Linked DNA regions of Canis lupus familiaris. The protein of the gene in region 2 binds, or shares a complex with, the protein of the main gene of each other region. Links are inferred from orthologs where the notes say so. Each region holds a gene or a part of one and is shown on either strand. Other genes may lie near its edges.

Region 1 (4,235 bases), on a different chromosome or scaffold from region 2:
AGTGCAGCCCTGTGGAAAGTTTTCCTCCACAGAAGCTGAGTAGAACAGTCCTGCTAAAGAGACCAATGGAATAAGGACAGTCAACGTAGGAAGAGACAGAAACATTCTTCTCCCCCGCTTATTACCTGCCACTCTGACTTTTAAAAAATTAAGTAGTATTAAGAAAATGCAGTTGTAGGCGTTGCTTTTAATTGTGATCTAGTGCTGCTCCGTTTCTTCTTGCTTCTTATTCTGATGTGTCATCCTAGCTGCCTGTGGTATCATATTAGGAATCCCATCAATAATTGGATAGGCTATTCCCAACTCTTCATTAATCAATTCATTTGTCGATGCTTCATATCTGAGGGGGGAAAAGAAAAACAAAATGAATTGTGGAAAATAAAATGCTTAGAAGTGCGTGGTCTTCAATAAACACCACCATTTATCCAATTCTTGACAGAGAGTTAAATTCCAAAAAAGTAGAATTAAACTGCTTCTAGGGTTGCCTGGGTGGCTCAGCAGTTTGGTGCCGTCTTCAGCCCAGGGCATGATTCTGGGGTCCCGGGATCCAGTCCCACATCGGGCTCCCTGCATGGAGCCTGCTTCTCAACCTCTGCCTGTGTCTCTGGCTCTCTGTAGGTCTCTCATGAATAAATAAGATCTTTAAAAAAATAAAAAACTGCTTCTAATTCTAAAAACAGTATTAGCCAACTGAAACATTTCTCTTAGAAAATGAATCTCTAATTGTTTGCATTTTGGTCAGTTTCTCTTGTATTTTTTCATTTTATTCTCGAGCTACACCTTAATATGTATTTTTAAAATCCAGTTAGAAGATCTTCCCTTTTCATCAAAATATTCCTTCCTAACTCTGGTCAACCCCAAAACCATCCCAGTTAATTTACTACTGAAACAGCCACTAGAGGAAAATTAAAATTCCCCACTATTTTAGAATGCACGCTTAACACAGCAACCTAATTGAACCACTGGAAGGAAACCACTGAAAATCAAGATATACAAAATAAAAGTTTGAGGAGGAGAGAGCAGAAACGAGGAAACTGAAAACAGTGCATCTGCAGCTAGTTACACAACTAAACGGTAGATCAAATGGTCATTTCAAGGTATAAGAAAATTGAGTGGGGATCCCTGGGTGGCGCAGCGGTTTAGCGCCTGCCTTTGGCCCAGGGCGCCATCCTGGAGACCCGGGATCAAATCCCACGTCGGGCTCCCGGTGCATGGAGCCTGCTTCTCCCTCTGCCTGTGTCTCTGCGCCTCTCTCTCTCTCTCTGTGTGTGTGTAACTATCATAAATAAATAAAAATTAAAAAAAAAAAAAAAGAAAATTGAGTGTCTTCATTATGGGAAAACATCTCGTTAAGAGAAACGTAGAAAGATTGAAAAAAAAAAAATGACTAGCAATCCACCACCCAAAATAACCACTGATAACAGTCTGGTGCAAAACTAGTGTTGTCAATGTTCAGTTTTAGTAGCCTGGGGGTGCAGAGTTCTTTTAAAAAAAAAAAAATTTAAACTCGGGCAGCCCCGGTGGCGCAGCGGTTTAGCGCCGCCTTCGGCCCAGGGCGTGATCCTGGAGACCCGGGATCGAGTCCCACGTCGGGCTCCCAGTGCATGGAGCCTGCTTCTCCCTCTGCCTGTGTCTCTGCCTCTCTCTCTGTGTGTGTCTCATGAATAAATAAAATCTTTCCTCATTTGATTAACATACAGTGTATAATTAGTTCAGAGATAGAGTTTAGTGCTTCATCAGTGGAACCTAACACCCAGTGCCCATGACATCAAGTGCCCTCCTTAATGCCCGTCACCGGTCACCCATCCCCCCACCCCCAGCAACCCTCCGTCGGTCTCCTAGAGTTGGTCTCCCTCTCTGATTCCGTCTCCTTCTATTTCCCCTCCCTGAGCTGTTTTCCCTAAGGATTCCAGGGAGACAGACCCTACGACTCTGCAAAACCCAGCCCGTCCAGAACTAAGAGCCAAAGGCGCAGCAGCGCACGCAGCTTAAAAGTGTTTAAGGCCGTCACGCATCAGCTGTAGATTTCCATAAGAATTTTTAGTCATTTTTCACCATCTTGGCTTAAAAACCTCACACCCACGGGCCAGTCCCGACTCCCAACAGTTCCTAAACCTGGCGGCGCGCGAGAACCACTTAGGTCCTTTTAAGAAAACGCCTCGCGCTAGTCCGGCCCCCAGCCCGGCTGACTGGGTCGGTCGGCGCCGGCGCACCCGAATCGGCATTTAAAAAAAAAAAAAAAAAAAAGTTCCCCCGGCGAGGCGACCGCGCGGCCAGCGCGGAACCTTCCAAGGCTTCCAGCCGCGCCTCGGCGGTGGGATCCGAGCGGCCCGGGATCGGCTCGCGCCCGCCTCCCCCCTCCCCCGCCCTTCCCGCCGCAGTGGGCGGAGCCTGGTAGCCGCAGGGCCCGGGGCCACAAAATGGCTGCGGGCAACCCCGGCCCGAGCCGAAGGGCTCCCCAGGGCCGTGAGCGGCCGCGCGAACCGAGGCCGGCCGCCGGGAATCTCACCTGAGCGGCTTCTTGGAGAGCGGGCACACCAGGAACTCGAGCAGCGCCGGGTCGAAGGCGCGGGGCGGGCCTCCCGTCCTCTCGCTCTTGTCTGAGGGCCGCCGCGACCCCGACGCGTGAAGGCGCCTGCGGGCGACCGCGAACGACGGCCCGCGCGGCCCCCGCAGTGCTGAGGCGAGCCGGCCGCACGCTCCGCTCAGCATGGTCTGGCAGCCCGCACCCGCCGCCCTGCCAGCGCCCGGCCGCTTCAGCCGCTTCCGCCGCTTCAGCCGCTCCCCGCGCAGCCGGCCCCGCCGCCCGCCAGGCCCCGCCCCCGGTGCTGCGGGAATGCGGTCCCCGGGCGGGCGGGCAGGAGGCAGCCCTTGGGTTCCGGGGGCGCTGCTGACGCGACTGCTTCTTCCCGCCCACCGCTCGGTAGTTACGGCGGGGCCCGTAGCCGCGGGGCTCCAGTGGCTGTTCGCCGCGTTTACCGATGACTGACAAAGCCAGGGCTTGAATTGGGGGCATTTTGGGTTTTCACCAGGGCTCATCGCAGGGGAGCCAGGAAGCCGGTGGCCGGATCTCAGAGTCCCACAGGGTTAAGCTTGCACCTACGTGGTCATCTCCAGAATGAGGTTTCGAACACGTATTGGGTATCTTAAAAGCATGGATTTGTTTTATGTAAATTACCATAGCACCTGTAACCTTTCCCCCCTCCCCGCCCTTTTCTTATTAAATGAAAACTTGAGGGGCCCCTGGGTGGCTCAGTGGATGAGCGTCTGCCTTCGGCTGAGGTCGTGATCCCAAGGTCAGGGGGTAGAGTCTAGCTCAGGCCTGACCCCGGGTCCTGGGATCGAGTCCCGCATCAGGCTCCGCGCGGGGCGCCTGCTTCTCCCTCTGCCCGTGTCTCGGCCTCTCTCTCTCTCTGTGTGTCTCTCATGAATAAATACATAAAATCTTAAAACACACACACACACACACACAAAGAAACTTTAGAGCCTGAAAAGAATAGCATAGGCCTCTTAACCTCCCAGAAGTCCAGCTTCTACTGTGAATTCAACTGCATCATAAAGCGCAGCCAGTTTATAAATGAGCTGGTGACAGCAAGGAGTCTGAGCAACTGTGCAACCAAGCGGGTGGATGTACCTTAGTTGGATGGCAAATCCGCTCAGTGGATTTTCCGCGCCAGGTTTGCATCTGGTGCTCTAGGGAAGTGGTCTCAGGCTTGATCTCTTTCTTACCATGAAGGAAGGGTTGGGCTCTGGGGCCTGGCAGCTCGGTTTCTGGTCCGTGCTTTACTAGCTGTGTAAGTCCAGCCAACGACTTACCCAGTTTCTTTTTTTTTTTTTTTAATTTTTTTAAATTAATTTATTTATTTATGATAGTCATCAGCGAGAGAGAGAGAGAGAGGAGAGAGAGAGGCAGAGACACAGGCAGAGGGAGAAGCAGGCTCCATGCACCGGGAGCCCGATGTGGGATTCGATCCCGGGTCTCCAGGATCGCGCCCTGGGCCAAAGGCAGGCGCCAAACCGCTGCGCCACCCAGGGATCCCCCCACTCAGTTTCTTTATTGTATGATAAGATAATGGCACCTACCTCATGAAATCTCCTTGTGGGCATTCAAATGGGATCTTGCAGGCAAAGAATATTTAGAAGAGTGATCCGGACAATTAACAATTGAGTTAATGCTCAATTAATGTTCTCTATTGTTATTTTTACGTCCTCTGTTCTTTCCAGTACATTGTGCT
Region 2 (4,005 bases):
AGCTTACTATCTGGCTAGAATGGCAGACATTTAACAAGCAAATTCAATTTCCAGTTTTCAGAAAGAAGTCAGTGTGAGATCCCAAGAAGACCCGCCTGGGAGGATCAGGTTGAGGAGGAAGGGGGCTAGCAGACAGGCAAACAACTTGAATATCACCTGACAACTGCTATGCCAGCATATGGCCAAAGTACTATAAAAATACAAAGGAGGAAGGATTTAATTCCCTCGGGAGGCTTGGAAAACGGCATCAGAAAGGAGCTGAAATCTTCAGGGGATGCAGAGGCTTTCTACAGGCTTAAAAGGGGTGCCAGTCGCAGCGGTTTAGCGCCTGCCTTTGGCCCAGGGCGCCATCCTGGAGACCCGGGATCGAATCCCACGTCGGGCTCCCTGCATGGAGCCTGCTTCTCCCTCTGCCTCTGTGTGTGTGTGTGTGTGTGTGTGTGTGTGTGTGTGTGTGTGTGACTATCACAAATAAATAAACATTAAAAAAAAGGGGGGGTGCCAGTGATGGTGCTCGGGAAGGCATCTGTTCTCGAAAGTGTACGCATGGCAGAGCTGGGGGAACTCCAAGCACCAAATGGAAGGGTTGGATGGCCATCACACCACTTCCACGGATTCACTAGCCAAGCACCATCATAGCCAGTTGAACCAGTTTCAGTGGGAGTTGATATTTCAGGTCAGACCTCAGATTTTTTTTCTTCGGTGTAGGGTGGCCAGATAAAATACAAGCTACGCAGTTAAGTTTGAATTTGAGATAAACAAGGGTAACTTTTTAGTAAGGTCGCCAATGTTTGGGGCATACTTGTATAAAAGTGATCTGAAATCCAAATTTTTCTAAACTTTGCTTTTATTTTAAGTGTGTGATTTTAATTATTTACCTCAGGCAACCCCAGCAGCACGGTTCTGCTGTGACAGATAATCACAAACACAGCGCCACCACGACCCGGGTGGCCTTCCGCCCCAAAAGTCCGATCCGAAGCCAGAGAGTACCGGCTTCCAGAAAAGGGGACGCTGTAACTAGGCAACCAAGACGCGAACCACCCGACCTTCTGCAAAATTCAGGTTTAGAAGTGCGGTGCATCCTGGGAGTGAGTTTTCTAAGTTCAGCTTCGCTTCCGAAGGCCACCAGACTACAACTCCCAGCAGCCCTAGAGACTCGCTGCGAGTCACGCTGGGATTTCTGACTTTACCCTCCGGAAGGCTCCTGGTAGGCTGCTTGTGTAAGAAGAGACCAGGGCCCGTTTCTAGAGGTTCGCCACCCTAAGAATTCATATAAAAAGTCCAACCGAGGAGTATTACTTTCGATGCAGAGAAAAACAAGTCTCCCCGAATATTGCGAAAACATGTGCCTACGCGCGCTGACGTTACAGCCAGCGCTGAAAGGTGGAGACTGAGCGGTGCTCCTGCACGTGACTCCAGCGCACCTTTCTGATTGGCCGCCTCGGGGGCGCGGCGCTCGGGCGCGGACGCCTCTGATTGGTGTTTCGGGGCAGCGGGGTGGGACTCTGGCCGCAGCCGCGGGAGGTCCGGACACTGGCGGCCATGGGACTTGCCGGTAAGTGCGCGTCTGACCCTGCGCCGGCACTCTCGGCCGCTTCCGGATGGGACTGGGCTGCACCCGTGGGAGTGTGGCCGGCGATGGAAGGGGCAAAGCCCGGGAGGCTTTGAAGCTCGGAAGTCGGGGGCGAGAGCCTCCGGACTCGAGTGGGGCTGAGGGTGCGCTGTGGCGGCCGCGCTGGAGCCGGTGCCGCGGAGACTGAGGCGGGCAGGTTGCAGGGTTCCCGGACCCCCAGCCTCAGACCCCTGCTCACGGTCTGGCTATCTTCCTCCTTTTGGGCCTGGCGAGACCCTGCTTGTCTCCAACGGGGTCGTTGATTGAGCGGGGTCGTCCCTCCCTTGGCCCTGGCGCTCCCCGGTGACCTCTCAGAGTGAAGCTGGGGCATTGCCCCGGGGGTGGGTGTGAAAGCACCGTCCTCCAGACCCAAGCCCCCGCGAGGTCTCCCTAAGGCTCCTCGGGAGCCTCTCCTGCTGACTCCCCGGGGACTCGTTGGCTCTGGATGGTTGTAAATTTACGGCCATTCGCATTTGTCACTAAAGTGGCTGGGTGGAGACCTTAGTCAAATCGCTCAACTTGCTTGGCTTCTCTTTTGTAAAGCAAGCGAGGTATTCCTGGATCTCCAAGCCTCTTGTCGGCTCTAAAATCTAAGATTCTGTGGTTGTTCCATTTGTTGAGCTTTTACGCCATAAAGATGTTAGGCGTGATAACCCGGTGGAAGTAGGCAGGCGCCTCAGAACGTTTGCAGGTTAATGACAGAACTTCAGATAAATTCATGTGGTTCTTGACTCCCTTTTTTTTTTTTTTTAAATCACCTTTTTAAGTTGAGTACAACTGGAAATTCAGGTTTAGGTGACAAACCACAGTAAGAAAATGTACTGAAACCACTTAAAAGGACAGACCTGAGGAATCTCAATATTTGGTAGTCTTGAATCTTAAATAGTAAATTCAGGTCAAAAAACACTTATTGAGTATTTCTGAGAATAGATTTAAAATATAGATGACTTCGTTGCCAAGAATTAAGAGTTTATACAGGCAGTTAATTTACATTTCCTGCGTTTACAAGTGAAATCGGAAATTCAGACCTTTAGGATCGCTTTCCATTGTGTAGTTCAGTTTCTGGAAGTGTGGAAATCTCATTTGTAAATCTGAGGAAGATTTCACTGGTTTTCCAAGACACTCTGTTGCTTTTTTTTTATTTTTTATTTTTAGCTTTAAAAGTGAGAATCTGTAATAGTACTGAATATCGAGTGAGCATTTTCTGCTGATGAGGGAGGATCTAGGAGACCCCTGAGATCCATATTTCCTCCTTTAGATGTAGAAAATGGCCCCACATCGGGTCCATCTTGAATTGAGCCTTTGTCTTTTAACTTCGAACTAAAGACAGGGATATTCCTGGAAGAAAGGCCTCCATAACTGAAAGAAAGGTTAAGAACATGAAAGGAGCAGCTTATTACCAGCCTTGAATAAGGAAGAGGAAAATGTAGATAAATGTCTGCAGCATGTGCTGTAGGCAGTACTTGAAAAAGACAGTTCTAGGGGCGCCTGGGTGGCTCAGTCAGTTGAGCGACTGCCTTTGGCTTGGGTCATGATCCCAGAGCCCTTCCTGGGATCGACCCTTGCTTCCCGCTCTCTGCCCAGCGGGGAGCCTACTTCTCCCTCTCCCTCTCCCTGCTTGTGCTCTCTCGTGATCTCTGTCAAATAAATAAATAAATTCTTAAAAAAAGTTCTAGCTCCAGGTGTATTTTAGTTTAAACCGCAAAGTAAATAGCAGAATTGTATGAGATTCATTGGGTCAGTGGCTAAGCTCTAGAGCAGGGCTGGCTAACTTTCTGTAAAGAGTCATGTATTTAATTACTGGAATGAACTGGTTTGCTAGCAGAGCACATTCTTATATACTGTGACATAACAAACTCATTTTTTTAAATTATGTGTTGCAGTGTTTTTTAAGCAAAATTAAAATATAAGGGCATTGTGGAATCTAGTTTTGTTGTATGGCACATAGTAAGTACTAAGCAAGTACTAAGCAAGTCACTTACTTTCATTTTTAGGGGGAAACCTAGCAAATTTACATTAGCATAAAACTGTTTACATCTGGATTTGGAAAACGTAATGTATTTTGTCTCTGAGCTGAGATCTTGTTTTACTCTCTTTTTCAGGTACTAGACGACACACATCTTAATCGAGTTGCTCTAAGGACAAATGCCTAAACCATCTCAGCATGGCCTATAGAGGAGGAGGTGGGCATGGCCAGCCTCGCTCATCTGTGCTCCCCCGTGTTAGCCCTGGAAGTCTCTCAGCATATAGGACCCGTACCCATAATATATGCATGGTGTCGGACTTTTTCTATCCTAACATGGGAGGCGTGGAAAGCCACATTTACCAGCTCTCTCAGTGCCTGATTGAAAGAGGGCACAAAGTCATAATTGTCACCCATGCTTACGGAAATC

Evidence for each region.
Region 1: PIGA (region 2) and PIGY share a complex: the UniProt entries of both Homo sapiens proteins name them as parts of the glycosylphosphatidylinositol-N-acetylglucosaminyltransferase (GPI-GnT) complex. The link is inferred for Canis lupus familiaris from reciprocal best matches to the Homo sapiens genes PIGA and PIGY.

The regions. Positions count from the first base shown.
Region 1 is NC_049253.1:28,141,915-28,146,149, reverse strand, and holds the start of PIGY (phosphatidylinositol N-acetylglucosaminyltransferase subunit Y), read right to left. Parts: upstream 2,801-4,235; 5' UTR 2,713-2,800; coding exon of another isoform or gene 2,510-2,712; intron 341-2,509; coding exon of another isoform or gene 199-340; 5' UTR 106-198; coding exon 1-105. Other genes in the region: PYURF (protein preY, mitochondrial), read right to left, coding at 199-340, 2,510-2,712. UniProt on the Homo sapiens protein: Part of the glycosylphosphatidylinositol-N-acetylglucosaminyltransferase (GPI-GnT) complex that catalyzes the transfer of N-acetylglucosamine from UDP-N-acetylglucosamine to phosphatidylinositol and participates in the first step of GPI biosynthesis.
Region 2 is NC_049260.1:11,624,940-11,628,944, reverse strand, and holds the start of PIGA (phosphatidylinositol N-acetylglucosaminyltransferase subunit A), read left to right. Parts: upstream 1-1,205; 5' UTR 1,206-1,555; intron 1,556-3,714; 5' UTR 3,715-3,776; coding exon 3,777-4,005. UniProt on the Homo sapiens protein: Catalytic subunit of the glycosylphosphatidylinositol-N-acetylglucosaminyltransferase (GPI-GnT) complex that catalyzes the transfer of N-acetylglucosamine from UDP-N-acetylglucosamine to phosphatidylinositol and participates in the first step of GPI biosynthesis.